Linked DNA regions of Drosophila melanogaster. The protein of the gene in region 1 interacts with the protein of each later gene in a pairwise test. Each region holds a gene or a part of one and is shown in the gene's direction. Other genes may lie near its edges. The genes, in order: Inx7, Atpalpha, CG14401 and Sec22.

Evidence for each region.
Region 2: the proteins of Inx7 (region 1) and Atpalpha interact in a two-hybrid assay, tested with the Drosophila melanogaster proteins (one large-scale study listed by BioGRID).
Region 3: the proteins of Inx7 (region 1) and CG14401 interact in a two-hybrid assay, tested with the Drosophila melanogaster proteins (one large-scale study listed by BioGRID).
Region 4: the proteins of Inx7 (region 1) and Sec22 interact in a two-hybrid assay, tested with the Drosophila melanogaster proteins (one large-scale study listed by BioGRID).

Annotation. Positions count from the first base shown.
Region 1 is NC_004354.4:6,991,102-6,995,497, reverse strand, and holds Inx7 (innexin 7), read left to right. Parts: upstream 1-1,885; 5' UTR 1,886-2,084; coding exon 2,085-2,318; intron 2,319-2,615; coding exon 2,616-3,325; intron 3,326-3,395; coding exon 3,396-3,768; 3' UTR 3,769-3,886; downstream 3,887-4,396. UniProt on the Drosophila melanogaster protein: Structural components of the gap junctions.
Region 2 is NT_033777.3:20,946,919-20,951,835, forward strand, and holds the start of Atpalpha (Na pump alpha subunit), read left to right. Parts: upstream 1-1,861; 5' UTR 1,862-1,887; coding exon 1,888-1,911; intron 1,912-4,917. UniProt on the Drosophila melanogaster protein: This is the catalytic component of the active enzyme, which catalyzes the hydrolysis of ATP coupled with the exchange of sodium and potassium ions across the plasma membrane.
Region 3 is NT_033779.5:20,868,002-20,871,993, forward strand, and holds CG14401 (uncharacterized protein), read left to right. Parts: upstream 1-1,852; 5' UTR 1,853-2,132; coding exon 2,133-2,346; intron 2,347-2,600; coding exon 2,601-2,759; coding exon of another isoform or gene 2,760-2,771; intron 2,772-2,830; coding exon 2,831-3,054; 3' UTR 3,055-3,471; downstream 3,472-3,992. Other genes in the region: CG31675 (uncharacterized protein), read left to right, coding at 145-196, 350-523, 1,116-1,336.
Region 4 is NC_004354.4:804,188-808,703, forward strand, and holds Sec22 (secretory 22), read left to right. Parts: upstream 1-1,888; 5' UTR 1,889-2,297; coding exon 2,298-2,378; intron 2,379-2,445; coding exon 2,446-2,555; intron 2,556-2,781; coding exon 2,782-3,083; intron 3,084-3,166; coding exon 3,167-3,315; 3' UTR 3,316-4,013; downstream 4,014-4,516. Other genes in the region: CG13358 (uncharacterized protein), read right to left, coding at 1-710.

The DNA of each region.
Region 1 (4,396 bases):
GAGCAGATATACTGACTGGTATTGCTTATGCCTGGTAATTGAATCTGTGGCCGAGGGTAATACGTGTGGAGCGCCTTGCTTGAATGGTTCGAATTTCGTTTTCATTGTGGTTTGCTTTATTTAAATTTCATTGCAAAATGGCCAAAGACAAAAGAACGTGCATGGCCTATCAGTTTATATCAAAATCTGGGCTATGCCAATAAAGCAATGCGATTGTTATTTGAACATGAATCAATGAACTTTCGTCAACTGGGAGGCGTAAGCAAAAGCAAAAGTAGTAGCCGTAATCATAGCAATTTCCTGGGAAACCCAAGTAGAGGTAAATTCGAGCAGTCAACCGGCTAAAAATGTTGCAATTACTAATATAGTTAACTGGTCTCTAGTTACGCACGACTTATAAATGTTATATGTACGTATGTAAAGGGGCCATTTTTGACTATCTTATCCGGCAAAGTTTTGGAGCGGCCACTTGAGCGCTTAAGTAATAAGCACCAAAATACAATGCCTAGGCGAGCTATTTAGATAAGCAACAGATATATGTAGATACTTATGAGCTGATAGTGCGAATCTCTGTTGGAATTCCGTTACATTCTAGAAAGTAAGTAAGCCAGTCACTCGTTGTCTTTTCTGGGGATTGACTGGAAGATAAGATTGTCGGGGCCAAAGAATGAAATACAATAGTGCGCAGGGTGAATATCCACCTGATTGCCTTGCGTGGAACCTTGCAACGATATCGCCAAAAAGGCAAACAGCCGAGCAATAATCCATCTTAAGAAGAAGAGTCTCAGTAAGTATGTACATAGCCCTCTGTCTAGCACTGATCTGGGTCAATACGATAACGCCAAGCCGATATATGTCCGCTTATCCAATTACTGTCCCATCCATCAGAATAGGCAGTATTGAATCAATATGGGTGGCGATAGCGGCACGCTTTAAGACCCGGAGAGTTCCAGATTACGGCGGAATTTGCAATTCCACACTTGAATGATTTCAATGCAAGTCTCTATGGTTATTCTTAAAACCAAGTGATCATTTCTTGCATCACTAAGGGATTTTTGCTATGTTTTTGGAAGTGTAACTAATTTGCTGATATCCTGAATCTCTTGAGTCATATATGTACATATATATTTTCCCGCACTGATTCATATTTCCTATGATTGTTTGCTTGGTTATCTTGGCCTCTTTGCTCTTGGATCTTGGATGAATTTCGATGGGTGGGAAGTTACTCACCCACCCACCAGGGCGAGATTTAGCCAACTTACCGATGAGGTAAACCCTGAGAAAATGAGTATTATTTTCATAATTTCTTTCGCTCTTTCTGTGACTTTCGTCTTATCATTTTCGGATTCTTATGAAGCCACGAGCCGAATACATGCCGAAGTACTCATGTTTGGGCGAAATTTGAAATATGACCGAAAAACTTCGGAGTTTTCTTGGGTATCAAGAGAGCCCTACACTGAAAGAATTAAATTGCTAACATTTTAGACTGAAACCTAAGTGACAAAGATTGTGCCCCTCTCTCAGCTTATACTGCGAGTCAGAAGCTGAAAAAAATTTCTTTTTTTTTTCTCATAGTCCAATAGTCTACGTAAGTCCTGCTAAGTGTAGCGCACTCCAGTAGGTTCTCATATTTCCCTTACTCTTTTCTTGGACAACTCTGAACTAAACACAATACCATTGCTGATTCGGCATTTCCGTGTATTTCTGCCCGACGAAGTTATCTTATCGGGCCCGGGCGACTCTCCTGGCCAAAAATGAGCGGTCGATAAGGCGCCAGAAAGCCCTCTCCGACGAATGTGGAATGGTGATGAAGATCGGCGAACGGGGACCGGAGACCGGAGACCGAAGGTTCCGAGACCCGGAGACCAAGTGCAGAGTCTCGAGCCTTGCAGTTACGAGGAGCTAGCCGCGGCAAGCGGAGCGCACAAATCCATCCGAACCCAGAAGCCAGCCCGTTTCCAATTGCCACCCAGCCATAGTTGTCGTAATCATCGTAAGAAAGTGAACGAAGTAGAAGTGGGATCGGATCGGATCGGATCGGGGCCAGAACCTAACCCAAAACCGAAGATAACGAAGGCGTTACAATGCTGAACACCTTCAGTTCGGTGAGGCAGTACCTCAAGTTCGATCTCACGCGTGTGGTCATCGACAATATAGTGTTCAAGCTGCACTATCGATGGACCTTCGTAATACTCCTAGTGGCCACCCTCCTGATCACGTCGCGCCAGTACATCGGGGAGCACATCCAGTGCCTATCCGACGGTGTTGTGTCTCCGGTCATCAACACCTTCTGCTTCTTCACGCCCACCTTCACAGTGGTAAGTCAGCGGGGTCACAAAGGGAAAATTATAAGAGGTCACCAGGGAATTAAAAAAAATATCTATGTACGGGGTACACAGAAGTATCTATTGAGAGCAACTGTTATCAATACTCTATTTGATTATTGGTTAAAACTTAAATAGGGTTAATCGATTTAGAGTCGTTTTATTGCTATTAGTTGGTTGATATATGTTGCCACATACCCATTCCTGAAATGATCAAATGATAGAATAGATTTTATTTATGTGCCTTGGCGGCAGTAGATCATTTATTAACATAGCTTGCACCCCAAATAGGTACGTGACCAGAACCAAACTGCCTACAGGCCGGGAAGTGAGCCACCTGGTATAGGGGCATTCGATCCCGAAAAGGACACGATCAAGCGGCATGCATACTACCAGTGGGTGCCCTTTGTCCTGTTCTTCCAGGCTCTCTGCTTCTACATTCCCCATGCCCTGTGGAAGAGTTGGGAGGGCGGCCGGATCAAGGCCCTGGTCTTTGGCCTTCGAATGGTGGGTCTAACGAGGTACCTGAAGAACGATAGTCTGCGTATCGGCAAGCTGAACATTCCCTCGATGGCGGAGGCGGAGGAGCGGGTCAAGGACATTCGTCGCACAATGATCGACCGGATGCGGCTGAATCAATCGTGGGGTGCCCACTTGGTCTTCGCGGAGGTGCTCAATCTGATTAATCTTCTGCTGCAGATCACATGGACCAACCGTTTTTTGGGCGGTCAATTCCTCACACTGGGACCACATGCCCTGAAAAATCGGTGGTCCGACGAGCTGAGCGTTTTGGATCTAGTATTCCCGAAGATTACCAAGTGCAAGTTCCACAAATTTGGTGACTCTGGCTCCATTCAAATGCACGATGCCCTTTGCGTGATGGCGCTGAACATCATGAACGAGAAGATCTACATTATTCTGTGGTTCTGGTACGCCTTCCTTTTGATTGTTACTGTTCTGGGACTGCTTTGGAGAATTTTAACCCTGTGCTTCTACAGAAAGTGAGTGGATGGATATAGGTGTGAAATATGTTTTCATAATGTGATAACCCTTCTAACCCACTTTAATTAGTGTCACATTTACCCGCTGGTCTCTCTATTGGGCCAAGCCTGGCCAACTGGACGAAAACGAATTATTGGCGGTAATTGATAAGTGTAACTTTTCCAACTGGATGTTCCTTTTCTTCCTGCGCTCCAACCTTTCGGAGTTCCTATTCAAGAAGGTTATCTATCATTTGGCTAGTGAGTTCCCCAATCCCGATCACGATAACGATGTCAATGCCTATCGAGAGGCACCGCCCACGCCCGCTAAGAACCGTTATCCGGAGCTCAGTGGTCTGGATACGATTGATTCACCACTCTTGCACCTTCGACGCAATGGCTCGCCCTCTGCCGGCGGAGCCCAAGGGCCATCGACTTCGGATATGGCAAAGTTACCTGTATAATTTATGCATTTCAATTAACGCTAGGCAATTAATTATTGGAGCTTTGTCTTGTTTACACCTGTTTTTTTTTTATATATATATATGATCATTTCATTATAAATATATTTATTATTAAGAGACTCGGCTTTCAGCTTTATCCAACAGGTTTTTTTCGGGGCTCACATAAAGCAAAATCTCTCAAAATGGCCGACAGAAAAACAGTTATTTTGTGTGAGGTATTTTGAAAAAAAAAGTGGGTAAAAAGCACAACAAAACCAAAACCGACCAGACACCTTTCGGAGGGGCGTGTGGGCGTGGCCGACAGTTTGTGTCGAGTGGCGACTGCGGTTGGGTGACCCAGTTCGAGTGATCCGTTGTGGTTTCGAAAGTGTTTGTTACTGAGCTGCAGTGTTCAGTTCAGAGCTGGGTCACAGTTTGTACCCTCCCATCTGACTGTGAAGTTTCAATAGATGTGCATGACGGTATCCCCGATTACGGACGGTTCTCCAGGTGAGTTATTGCTACTGTAAGTTTTATATATTTTCTATGGTTTTGGGAAGTTTAAGTGGTTTTCATCGAAAACATCCAGAGATAGGAGGAACTCAACTTCTGAAGTCAACGCTTCCAGCTGCATTAAGACATTTACACA
Region 2 (4,917 bases), on another chromosome or scaffold:
TGTTGAACCACAAACACCCAGACACACAGAAACACTAAGCACCAGCACGCAGCAGAGGCAAAGACACCTGTTGATTGGGCCTTTCAGGTTATTTGAGCCAAAGCCAATGCCAAAGCAAAAGCAAAAGCGAAAGCCAAACCCGAAGACAGTGGCAGTGGCAACAAGGCGATTTCCCCTCAGCTTATGTGGGCTCAATTTTGTAGTCGAGCCGGCTTCCTTCTAATGGCCATGGGATATTGAATCGATTGACGGGGCCGCAGGATGAGAGGGCGGGCAAAAGGATGGGCAAAGTGGAAAGTGGGTTGCTCTGCAGCTGAGCGAAAAGTCGTTTCGCCTAAGCAACCGCAGCCCCTTTGGAGCTGCTTCCTTGTTTGTGCTCGTGTCGACAACAATTGATTTCAAAATATTAATTAACCGGATAAACCAATTGAAGCTTCCGGAGAAGGTAAGGGCAAATGAAACCGTGCAAACTGTGCTCTTTGTAAGAGTGTGCAAATTTGGCATTTCCTTGTAATTGGTCACCGAATTGATCAATTGAATGAATCTGTAGAAATTTAGATGCCATTTTGCTGGGAAGCTAACTTAGATAGAACATGCTAGCCTTCAAGAACAAAATGACTTGAGACATCTAATTATCCTGATTATATTTGGGGTTTAGAGTTGCGATAAATTCAGCTTCGACCAAGTGGAGGTCAGCATTTCGGATGATAAAATGAGATCTTGTGCGGACGGAGATAAGTTTTCCAAATGCCTGGTCGTTTGGAGGATTGTTATGTTTATAGCTCCATTACACTGACAAATTGGAAGATCTTCGTCTTGAGTTCCACATCGTGACTCGTACTTATCAATAGTGTTCTCAATTAAATTCATAATTTAATTATAATCAATTACGCGGTCTGTTGGTTTCGGGCGAACCTTCAGTTGGTGCTTCCAATGATAAGTTGCTGGATAATGATGACGAGGGGTATCAGGTGTATCTTGAAATTTAAGTATAATTTAATTAGTTTAAGTAAGCTGAACTTATAATCTCCAAGATGCGTTTTTCCCCACAGGATCGTCGAATTGCTGAGCCTTCGAGAATCTCTGGCCCGTTTGAAGCCATTCATCGCAACAATGATCAACGATCAATACTGAACATAGGAAATAAATTTGAGAAGATTCAAGTCCAGTTGAACATTTCTTGGAGAGTAGCTAATTTATACGTTTAACGAACGCCATCTACACTTCGTTCTATCTGCCACTTAAAATTATTTTGCTTATACAGCGCCACCTATGTTTGGAATGCAAGAAGACGCGCGTATTGTATTTGGTATTTTATTATCTCTTGAAATTGAATACACATAACTATAACGTTGGCAACTCTCCATATCTGTAAATATTCAAGATGGCAACTATCGTAGTGTGTATATTTTAATCTGGCAGCTCCAGTAATTTTCACGCTTGCAGTTGATATAAAAAGTACATAAAAGTATGTTATTTCCAAATTGAGGTGAAAAATTAAACATATTTTTAACTTGGTATTTTAAATTAGCAATTATTAATGAGAGTATTGAAATCCAAACATATCCAGATATTAATATTTGAAGGTAGCATAGTAACAACTTTCGGTAAATAAATATCCAGGTATATTTAAAATACTTAACTTTTCATTTTAAATAAACCAGACTGTTCGGACTATTGACAAATTATAATAGTAATTTTATTCATAATGCAATATTTACAATTACATTTTCTTAACCGATTGCCATCCCGATTTCTACACCGGCTTATTCGATACAATAGGCCGATAACTCTCCATTTGGTAGTCACGACTTCTAAAATATCGATACGTTGGAATTGTGTAAATTTTCCACATCCCTGGGAATAATCGAGTTAAATTAAAATAACATGGCGTTAAGGTCGGATTACGAGGTGAGCAAAAATAAAGCCTGGATTACGATGAAAACTAAGTTAGTTAAGTGAGAAAATGGTTAAGTTTAAACTGTTGTTAGACCATGACGAGGGAACCAAAAAGAACCAGGGCCAAAACAAATTGGCCAAGTGATACGCTGAGCGGGCGTTGTTTTTAGTGGGAAAAATCGAAGCCCGAGTGCGCTGTGTGGGTGTGTGCGTGTATCTGTGTTGTGTACATTGCTTTTGGTGTTGTTCTTGCTGCTGCTGCTGCTACTACTATTTGTTTTGTTGCTGGTGAAAAAGCGAGAAGCAACGACAACAACAACAAAGCCGAGGCGACGCCCAACGAAGTTTACTAATTTGTTTGCGGGCTTTCGGTAACTGCAAACGGAATCGAATGTGAAACGGGGCGCAGTTACTAATCCTATTGGATCTGGATGGGCCTATATCCGCTTACCTGCTGATCTGTAAAAATAGCCTGGGCTTAGAGCCTGGCTTTTGACTTTTTTCTCGAATTTGTATTCGCTCTCCCTTTCTCTTGCTCTCTCTCTCTCTCTCTGCCTCTCTGTCTCTCTCTCTCTCGCTTTCCAGGTGCGCTTAGCTGGCATGCGCAATTTGCATTTCCAGGCCGACCAGTTTCCCAAATTTTCCACTTTCCCGGCGCGAAAGCTTTTCGCTTTTCCGTGCTTGGAAATCTTCCAGTTTTCGGCTTACATAACCGGTACTGCTGCCGCCCCTCCCGAACCACGCCCCATTCCGCCGCATCTCGCAGATTTCATTATTGGAATCTCGAGCTCTAGAACGAAACTACCCTGCATAACACGTTTATTTTTCCATTTTCCGTGCTTTCCCTCCTTCCGGAATTGGTGTCATTGGGCCGAGTAGTGCGCTGCTAATTACACACACTGGCACATTAGCGTAAATCGACGTACTTCTTACCGTACTTTTTTCTCAGTACGTAGCCCTTACTTTCCCTTCCCTACCCCCTCACCATTCGATTAGTTACTAAATGCCCCACCGATGACGCCACTTAATTACCCCGCAGAAGGTAATGAGTTCTTCGCCAGGGTTGTTGTTTCCACCCGGGCTTTCGGTTCTGTTCCTAGGGCTAGACCACCAATTCTAAGTCCGTATTGCCAGCTCTATTGATTTTGGGGCTTGTCTAAGGGCAGGTCACACACACGCACGCACCCACACACATACTGGTTCGACGGCCCGAAAGTATGCAAAACTATAGAGCAAGCGGTCTGAATCCACTCGCAACAAACAGTGGGTCCAGATATTATTTGTAACGGGAAAACTTGAAAAGAACGCTTAAGACCTCACTTAGACTTGAAAGTGTCTTGTAGAATATATTTAGATATTATTATATAATTATTATAATATATATTATATTGTGCATATTTGTATTGTTATAAAATTAAGTATGTAATTCCAAAATTACGTCTTTATTAGTATTGTAGTGGTATGCATATTTTAAGAATCAAAATAAGTTACGCAAATTATTTTAAGTTTAAAAACATTTGTGGTTGGGTTTATTGGGTTGGGTTTCATACAATTAATTTTATAAAATATGACGCATTTCCCAACGGATTTTCAAGGGCAAATTCTGATGATAATATTGTTGGTGTAGAATACAACGTTGCATAATTATTATAATTCAATCTGCCGGACTACGACATCTTATATCTTAACCCAGTGTGCTCAGTGGAAATTCTATTATGATTTCACGCACAAATCCGCGTAAAGCTGAGTTATGTACGAGTATATCTCACATCCCCCCACCAGCGTTGTGGCTTCGTTTTGTATGCTGACTCATGCGCTTTCAATTGAAGTCAATTTAAGAAAGCACATCAAAAATCATGAAACTACAATCTGACGATGCTCTAAGAACGCGATAATGAAGTTCCCTTCCTCTCAATGTGCGTTCCATAAGTAAATGATTTGGAATTAAGGGCCAGCCAAAACGAGAACTAGTTGGTATATGTATGTATGTATGCATCTACCCGTTTATCAGTCGAAAAATGCAGATAAAGCAATTAAGAGTTTATGGAGAGGACGGCAAATAAGCTGAATAATGTGCTTCCAACGTGGTAATGGCAGGTTCTAAATGCTAACACCCAGGATTTGAATACTATCAGCAGTTATCAGCGTTGACATGTAGTACACACACCTATACTATATATTAACCAGATATTTTGTGCACCCGAATAGACGGGCCCCTTCCCTTTTTGACCAGTTTTACCCGGCTCGGAGATTTTAGGTTCGCGTTAACTACTTAACAGATTGCCGATGGCAGTAAAAGCGACAGTGATAATAATTACAACTGGAAAATACCAGAAAACCGTCCGACAGAGGTGGTGACTTGCTTTCGGCAATCAAAGCGTGGCAGCAAAACAATATTGGCCGTTTTAATTCAATTACGCGCCAATAAAAATCTAATCAACTGACAATGGCAAACCGTTTGAATAGATCTTGTTGGAAAAAGCCATCTACGCTATGTGGGCATCATCAATTGGCGGCCATAATCGCAAGATGTGGAAATTATCACCTCGCCCATTGACTGTTTGCTGTCACATCCAGCACACAGATTGCATTCGACAAGGACTTCGATTTGTTTCGCTGCGGTGTGATATTTGGCACATGCCCAGTTTGCGTCAATGGGTAGGGTCTTAATTACTAACGATTGCATAACCCGCTATTAGGGGTCTGGGCCTCCAGTTTCCCAGGTATCGGTATCTGTATCTGTGCCTTTGCGCTATATTTACCTTTCGTCTGCTTATCAGATAACACTCGCTCGACCAACACTTGTAGATTAAGTTCTAGAGCGGTACGTTGATTTATTTTCGTTTTCGTTTGTTTTCGAGTTGGTCTCCAGCTTGTAGGTCTCTCAAGGTCCATCGATCATTACCCTTCAGGGGTGGCTTAGTTCCGAAGGGGTAGTTTATTGTCCAGCTACCTGAAGTAGCTGAGCCGGAGCTCAACAATGGCTCAATTGTTCCTGTTCGCCACCGGTTCAAACGA
Region 3 (3,992 bases), on another chromosome or scaffold:
AAACCTCGTGCGGATCGTTTCAATTGCGCCGAGCAGAGCTATAAATAAGCCCGCCACTTGAATTATTTTCCATAAAACCATCAAATACAACAAATTCCAATCACCAGCGAGAAAGGTGGCAAACCGATTTTCCTCCCATCAACAATGCAGCATTATTTACTTTTGTTTGGCGCGCTCATCTCGCTACTGGCCTCAGGTTTGTTTTTGTTCTGTTTGGACTTGTTTCTTTCGAATTTGTACTTTGCTTTGCGAGTTCTGCGTTTGCCGCGACCTGTCGGCTGTCCCCGCCTGATCTCATTTCTGCCATAAATAAGACGCGTCTCTGGTCTTCCCATCCCAATGCCACTAGCTTACGCCATCAAGTGCTATGCCTGCGAATCCGTCTACGAGGCTAGTTGCGGCGACGACTTCGAAGTCGAGAACCATTTTAAATACGACTGCGCCTTCATTGCTCCTCCGCGATTCCTGGAGAACGATCTGCTCAGCGTGAATGCCACGGCCTGTTTGAAACGGGTATTCAAGGGTGAGTTTAAACGAATATGTTTCTCAAAACACGTTCCTACGGATTTGAAGCCTTGCTAGGATAGTAACTTTAATAGTTATGAATCAATAGGTATAGTAAAAAGAAAAGAAAGTTTGAAATATAAGATTAAAAAGTGGATATATCGTAATTCACCAAAAATGTATCTATCCACCAGATATTTTTTTAAAGTAATTGTTCATTAATTACAAATACAGTCCGATTAGCAGCGGACAAAAAAAGTGTGTTCCGAAAGGTAAATGTCTGTATACTCATTAAACATTCGCAATGTTGTCCGTCCGAGATTTGTATTTACTCTTCAGATAATAATTTCTTTAATGATTTGTGACGCAAATCAAAACAAATAAAATTAATTATGTGAAACAGTCATACATACATTCATAGACATACGTGCATATACGGACAGCTGTGACCTTATTTCAGAAGAATCTCGTAGACTTTCCAACAATCTCTTGATATTTTGGACAATACGTACACATTTCGTATAAGCCCATTAAAGACGGACAATAAAAAATGTGTTTATTTACGATAAGTCAGCCCGAAAGTAGACTAACCCAATGTTTTGCCTCTGCAGAAAACGGCGTGCGTAAGATCGTCAGAGGCTGCTACTTCGGCGAGGTAAATGCCACCGATGTGTGGTGCAAAATGGACCCCACCCTGTCGGCGGTGCAGAACTCAAGTTGTCATGTGTGCGACAGCGAGAACTACTGCAACGGATCGGAAAATCATCCAGTGGATAAATGGAAAATCTTCGGCAGTCTGGTCTTGTTTCTCTTGGCAACTCAACTACTCTGAGGCGACAGGAGACGAAGTGGAAATGTGGAAATGTGGAGCGTGAAATGAACATTAAAAGGCACAGTAGCTTAAGTAAACCTAGTTCAATTTAGATGTATTCCCAAGGCCCAGGACTATCAATTAGTAAAGCCCACATTAGTAGAGCACACCATCCACAAAACCGTTTAGCCAAATCTGCCCGGCCCACTGTATTAATGGCTAATCAACGCCGAACATGGCGTATGAGCAACATCAGCACACCGAAATGAGCCGAAAAGCTGGCAAACAAATTTCGAACGATCCAAATACAAACTAATAAAAACTAATTTTACACAGAATGCCAAATTGTTTATTTGTTCAAATGCCACTAATGAACCTTGCCTGAAATAAATGGATTGGCGAGGAAAGGGCAAAGGGAATGGCAGGGCAGGGTAGGGCAAGGCAGAGCACGATGTCAACACGCATTGGCCAGGGAAAAGCCAACGATGGAGAAGTGAAAATGTGAAAAAATCTGTTATGAAAATCAAATTCACATTCTGAATGCGATTGTTCGCACGTTCAGTTCAGTTTCTGTTTAGTTCAGTCGCGTGTGTGCATCGCTTCGAGTCGGTGGTCGGTGGTCGGTGGTCGGTGGTCGTTGGTCGGCGGCTTGTGGCTATATAGCGCATCTATCATGTGATTAAAATCGGTCCGGCAACCGAGAAGACAACATCTGTATTCGCGCACGTATCGGCATCGCCAAGCTATAGCTATAGCCATACTGACTCACCGCGACCGCCGGACGACAGTGGAATCAACTGTTTTCGGGGGCGGTACGATGGCGATGATGGCAGCGCTTGCCTCGCTCTTTCTGCTCGTCACGCTGGCCAGCTCAGGTGAGATTCTCGATTCGCGCCCGCCACTCATCACATTCCTGCCCCGAAATTGTAGTTCATATTTTGAAATATCTCAGAAGCAGAAGACTGTCAACACGATTTATTGCGAATCAGTGAATTTAGGGTTTTACCGACTGTTTTGCGGGAAACTGTTCAGTAAAGAAAAACATATAAACAGCTTTCTTTGTTTATTTCATTGTTTACGTATAGAGTCTAAAAAGTTCAAGAATTATATTACAAATTTTAATTAACTTACATCTGAAAAGAAATTAACGTTTTGGAACATTAAGAATGGTTTTAAAGCTAATTGTTTACTTTAAGATAAAGATAAGGTCTACCAAAATGCTCATCCATTGTTTTCCTTTCTGTGCACTCTCGTGGACACACATTTTTACGGATGTCGTCATCAGCCCGTGCCATTACCTGCTACGAATGTGATTCCGTCAATAATCCAGGGTGTGGGGAGCGATTTGTGGGCGATGACATATCCACGACGGATTGCGATGTGGTGGCGAACATGCGATCCCTGGGAGCGGAGGCCACTTGCCTTACCAAGTACCATGAGGGAAGTGAGTATACGAGTATGGTTTCTGGAAAATATGTCAAGGAAATCCCTTATAAAATGACTCACTTTTCGCAGTGCCAGGAGACACGCGCTTCGTGAGGCGCTCCTGTTACTTTGGCGATGCCTCCCCAATAGGCGTCAGTTGCGACGATGGACCAGATCCTGTGGTGCCCTTTATGAACTTCCTCGGCTGCACACTGTGCGATACGGATTTGTGCAACGCAGCCGCTGGATTATCCACACTACCCTTGGTCATTGCCCTTTCGATACTCGGACTGCTTGTCCTACTGGCGACCTAAGGAAGATGAGTCGCGTGGAACGGCGGCGGTCGTATTTCAATGTTTCCTATTAAAAGTAATATACTCCAGTATTGTATAAAAGATTGTTGTTTTCTTGGTCGACTAACTAACATGACTTCTTATACTCATGCAAAGGGCGCAGAACAAGAACGACCCAAAGTTTATCCTTATATTCTTAATTTTCTAAGGCAAATGGCTTAAGTTATAAAAAGCCTACTGAATATGTAATAAATTTAACTTAAAGCCCCTAGAAGAATGAAATAGAAGCAAATATTTTTTAATTTTTATTTTATTTGATTTTCTTTCCATTGTTTTTATACATCCACTAAAATGATTTAACATACATATATATTTATATAATTATACTTGTTTGATTTAATATAATTTATTGAATAAAATTTACTCGTTTCCTACTCTACTAGCGTGTGTATGTAAGTATGTGTATGTGTGTATTGCAATTAGGATCATTAATTACAAAATATTCATAAAATAAATTAAAATAACACTTTCAAATCGATACACACAATTTCTGTTTCAATATCTAGTCCATTGATTTCTTGATCGTCAAACAATTCTAGTTTTACATTTATTTCCAGTTTATAGCATAAATTATTTTATGTAGGCAAACAGATAACATCTTTGCTTATTATCTTAATGGGTTTAGCTGCGGATTATATTCATAACACTTCTGGGCTACACATAAATAACATTCAAATATAAATATATGGATATTTATCAAGATATTGTATATAAACTACACATTGAGAACAATTCAGATAGAAAACAATTTATGTACAAAAGATTGTGTTTGTTTTTGCTTCACCAATACTGTCCATGCTGGCGTTGTCCGGCGGAATCTCTACGATCCCAGCGAGGACCACTGCCGCGTCAATGCCACAAACAATCGTCGTCCATCTTTCCGCGTCTTAAAGTCTATC
Region 4 (4,516 bases), 6.2 Mb from region 1:
TCCACGCTGTCCAGGGTGTTCCTCACCACAAATTGCTGCCTGGGCTGTGAATTGGATTGCGGTCTCGTTCGAGCTCCTGGCATGGGCAAAAAGCGAAAGAGCCGGGTAGAGACGCCGTCATCATCTGTCACGTCATCGGTGGACAAATCATCTCCTCCAGCCCCTCCGACTCCGTTGGCAGACGGAACAGCACTATCAGCTTGTCCACCGGCAAGCGGAGTAAACACGGCAGCCAGACGCACAGGCACAAAGGCTGGGAGCCGCACTGTAATGGGAGTGCCGGAGGGCGGAACAGCCGGTGACGGGATTGCAACGGAGACTGGTATGGGTGTGGGTCGTGGCGGAGGAGGTGGTGGTGGTGGCAGTGGAGGCGGAGGAGGTCTACGTGTGCTGGCATCCGCTGGCGACGCAGTCGTTGTTGTGGCCGATTCCTCCTCGACCTCCTTCCAGGCCTCCAGCAGGGTCAGCAGCTCATCCTTGCTCATGTGGCCGAGACCAACGGGGCTGTAGGGCCACTCGCCCACTCCGAGTCCACTACCAACACTATTCCAGCCTAAAGAGGGCACTTGTTCCACTTGCTCTACGTGACCCAGCGGAGTCTCGAACAGGCTCCTTTGGGGACGTGTGAGGAGCAGCTGCTGACCAGCCAGCCCATTGCACAGGATCTGCATGAGGAGACCCAGGAGCGTCGCACGAACTGACCCGGCCATGACTGACTTTGTATTGTGGAGCCTCTAGGTGGAGCAGTGGCTTATATATACATACCTGCTTTCAACGGAACGAGGAAGGAGGCCAAGCCGAGCAAAACGGAAGCGCACGCATTCCGCTGCGGGTGATCCGATCACACGATGAGAAAATAGGTTGACCGCAGTCCTCGATGGGCTCAGAGTTAATTGAAATGCATTCGATTTAAGATCACAGTACAAGCATTTTAAATAATGTCATAAGCTTTCCCGCTTTGATCACAAACTTGTGTATATCTTAGCATTCTTCGGTATGAGCAGAAATGGGAATGGTTATTCGCATTCGCTTGCAGGGCTTCAATTCATAATATACATAGATGAATAAGTCGCATTCGATATGAATTATTTTCCCAGTGCAAAGATTTTTCCGGTGGTCGCTTGAAACGCACATTCGCACGCAGCTCCATCGCCAAGTACCACAGGTAGTCCATATAGTTGGGTCCCTGCCTCAAGTCCAAGTCCGGTTTCGCGGGCGAACCACTTTTCCTTCTGGGGATGGATGTGGATGTCCATGCAGAGGATGGTCTTCGCGGGCGAACCGGTTGGGCTTGGTCATCGACTTTTGGGGGGTCCAACCCACTTCCGGCATCTGCGCCAGCGGATTTGAGTCTGCGAAAGCGGCGCGACGTGCCAGGGATTTCGATTTATGTTGGTTAATAATTTAAATAAATATTTATTTATATTTAAATATTTGAAATAATATATTCGCAACTCGATTGCCAATATAAAAAATAAAAATACCAAAGACCAATTGGTCGGATTGGGACTCAAAACAGCTATAGAACAATGCATCTGGGCGCCAGGTTCATGGGTGAATCGAAGTATTGTACTTCTATTGAACTTCTGGGGATCCTTAATCCGCATCCTGTGTACAACACACGCATACAAAAAGCAAACTCCACATTACAGCAGAGCGCAAGCTGTCAAAGCTGTAGACCTGGGAAAATAGCTTTGCGGGAAAGCCCGGAAACTCGAAAGCGCCATTTTCAGGGGCATGCTGGCTTGAAAACGAGTTGAAAGCGTATTTCCATATCGTGCATTTAAAGAAACGAAGAAACGAATGGTATAATGGACTTCCGTTAATGTGACCGTTGGCGGTCGGTACTCTGAGATACTCTGCGGTATTCGGTATGCCTCGCACCATTCGGTATATTTACACGGACATACCGGTGACGTGGTTACATTGCAACAAACATCCACAGAAACCTCCAATCCACTCCAATCCCAGACACCCGCCCGCCGCGACGTTGCAACACAGTTTTCATGGTAGCAGCGAACGTTCCCGATTCGAGGCAGAGTCCATTTGGAAGTCCCGGGCATCGCAGGAGCACTGCGGCAAGCACCGACCGATCGGCTGAGTTGTGAAATCCAAGAAGTGGAAGAGGACGACCGGACACAAACTTCACACACTGGTGACTGGACTGCAGCGGATCCACATCGGAATAAGTAGCAGCCAGTGGAAGGAGGCGACGGCAGAGTGCAGCCGTGGCCAAGAAGACTTGAGACGCAGCCCCGTAGTTCCGCGAGCAATCGTAACCAGGAACAGCAGAAGCCATGGCGCTGCTGACCATGATAGCCAGGGTCATCGATGGCCTTCCTCTGGTGGGGACCATGCAGGATGACGAGCAGGTACCCGTGTGCATCACTTTCTAATACGTTGCATTCCGTTCCGCTCCCGCAACTAAGTCGCTTTCACTTTCAGAGCGGACGCAGCATACTGGACTACCAAAACCAGGCTAAGATGCTCTTCCGCAAGCTGGGTACCCACTCCCCGGCTCGATGCAGTATCGAGACCGGACCCTACCTATTCCAGTGAGTAGCCCCAATTCGTGGCACCTTTGCCAGGGCATAGACCATTAAAATCACACCATGTACAAAGGTTTCTCGGCTCCGCGGGTAGTCAGTGACAGTTGATTTAGTTTCGGAACAAAGAGTATAGATGTAATTTGATACGAAGTTAAATTAAACGCTCACTGCTTGCGAAAGCCAGAAGATGCAATGGGCGCCCCAATTAAAATATTCCACATTTTCCCTGCAGCTACCTAATCGAGAACGACGTCTGCTACCTGGTGATGGTGGACAAGATGTACTCAAAGCGACTGGCCTTCAATTACCTGGAGGACCTGGCCCAGGAGTTCCATGCTAACTACGGCCGGCGAGTAAACTCAGTGACTCGCCCATACGCATTCATCGAGTTTGACGTGTACATACAGAAGGCGAAAAAACAGTTGACGGACCGCAGACGCAACATCAGCAACATCAACACACAGCTGCAGGATGTGCAGCGCATCATGGTGCAAAACATTGACGACGTGCTCCAACGTGGCACAGTGCTGGCGGGTAACTACTACTACTACTATCTACGCGACTATCTACGCGTGATTGTGGGATTCAACTGACGTTCACCCCGTTTTTCCTTCCAGAACTCGACACCAAGACCCAGAACCTATCGATGATGTCACAGAAGTACAAGAAGGACGCCAAGCTGCTCAACCGAAAGTCCATGTACGTGAAGGCGATGGCCTTGGGCATGATACTTCTAGTGTTCATCATGTATTTCTGGGTTCTGTAATATCAAGCAGTTCCATGGCCACTCGGAGCGGCGCGTTCTTTGTTGGAGTCAAGCGTCAAGGACGCAAGACCAAAAGACATTTAGATTACGCGTGCACCTGTACTCCACGCCACCAACCACACCATATTCATTCATATCTATGAATCATAGGCAAGCGAAAAGTGAATAGCGAAACCCCCTACCAGCATACGCATCGCTCCCGAGGATTGTTTTACTTCTAATATTAACTTACCTTTGCGTTATTTACGGTCTGGGATTCCATTAATTATTAACTCCCATTTCATTTCGCCTCGCGCTTCCGTTGCGCAGGTTTTCTAAATATTTGATTACGAATCGGGTTTAGTTTAGACGACCTTTGAGCCAAGTCGGTTGACTACGACCCAAATCTGTAAATTATGAGCGTCGATCCGTGTGTGTGTGTATAAATGTCTAGATTGTAGATGGATCGCTGCATAGCGAATCCGAATCCGGCGGAGTGCTTGATACAAGCTGCAAAAACACCGCAAAAAACAAAAGAAAAAGAAAAGATAACAAGCGAACCGAAAGAAAAGAAAAGAAGAGAAAGGGAAATAAACAATAACAGTTTTAGGCAATTTATATGTGTAAAATTAAGGCAAATAAATAAATTTATATTGTTTAATAAAGAGAAGGCAAAACTGTGTTCGATGCACTACCCAAGCCCGAAAGATAGAAACTGCATCTGATTTTTGGTTTAGTTTTAATCGATAATTTCCCTTTATATATTTTTCGATTCACTGAGTGTGATGTGATACATTCGCCTTTATAGTTTATATCCACTTGCAAGCCTTCGAATTACGATTCTTCTCAATGAATTTCTCGATCTGATCCGATCCCGATCCCATTCGGTCTCATATCGTCCCGCTAAATGTCCGTTTTCGTTGCGTCTCAGCGCATATAAATTTGTAATATCAAATCTTTACAATTAGGAAAAAAATGCGCTGTTGCCATATACACTGCTATATCGTAATTTGGTGTGTATAGTTTTGTGAAATATCGAATCCGAATACATATATACGCTCTCTACATAACTACATATGAATGCATATGCTTTGTGGGGGGGGATGTGTGAAATGGTCTGCAATAATTAATTAACTGGGGAGAAGAGCAATCATCTACCGAATTTTGCAACCTCCTCTGGCTTCCGTGTACTAGGCTGTGGTTCTGCTGAAGCTCTGGTGGT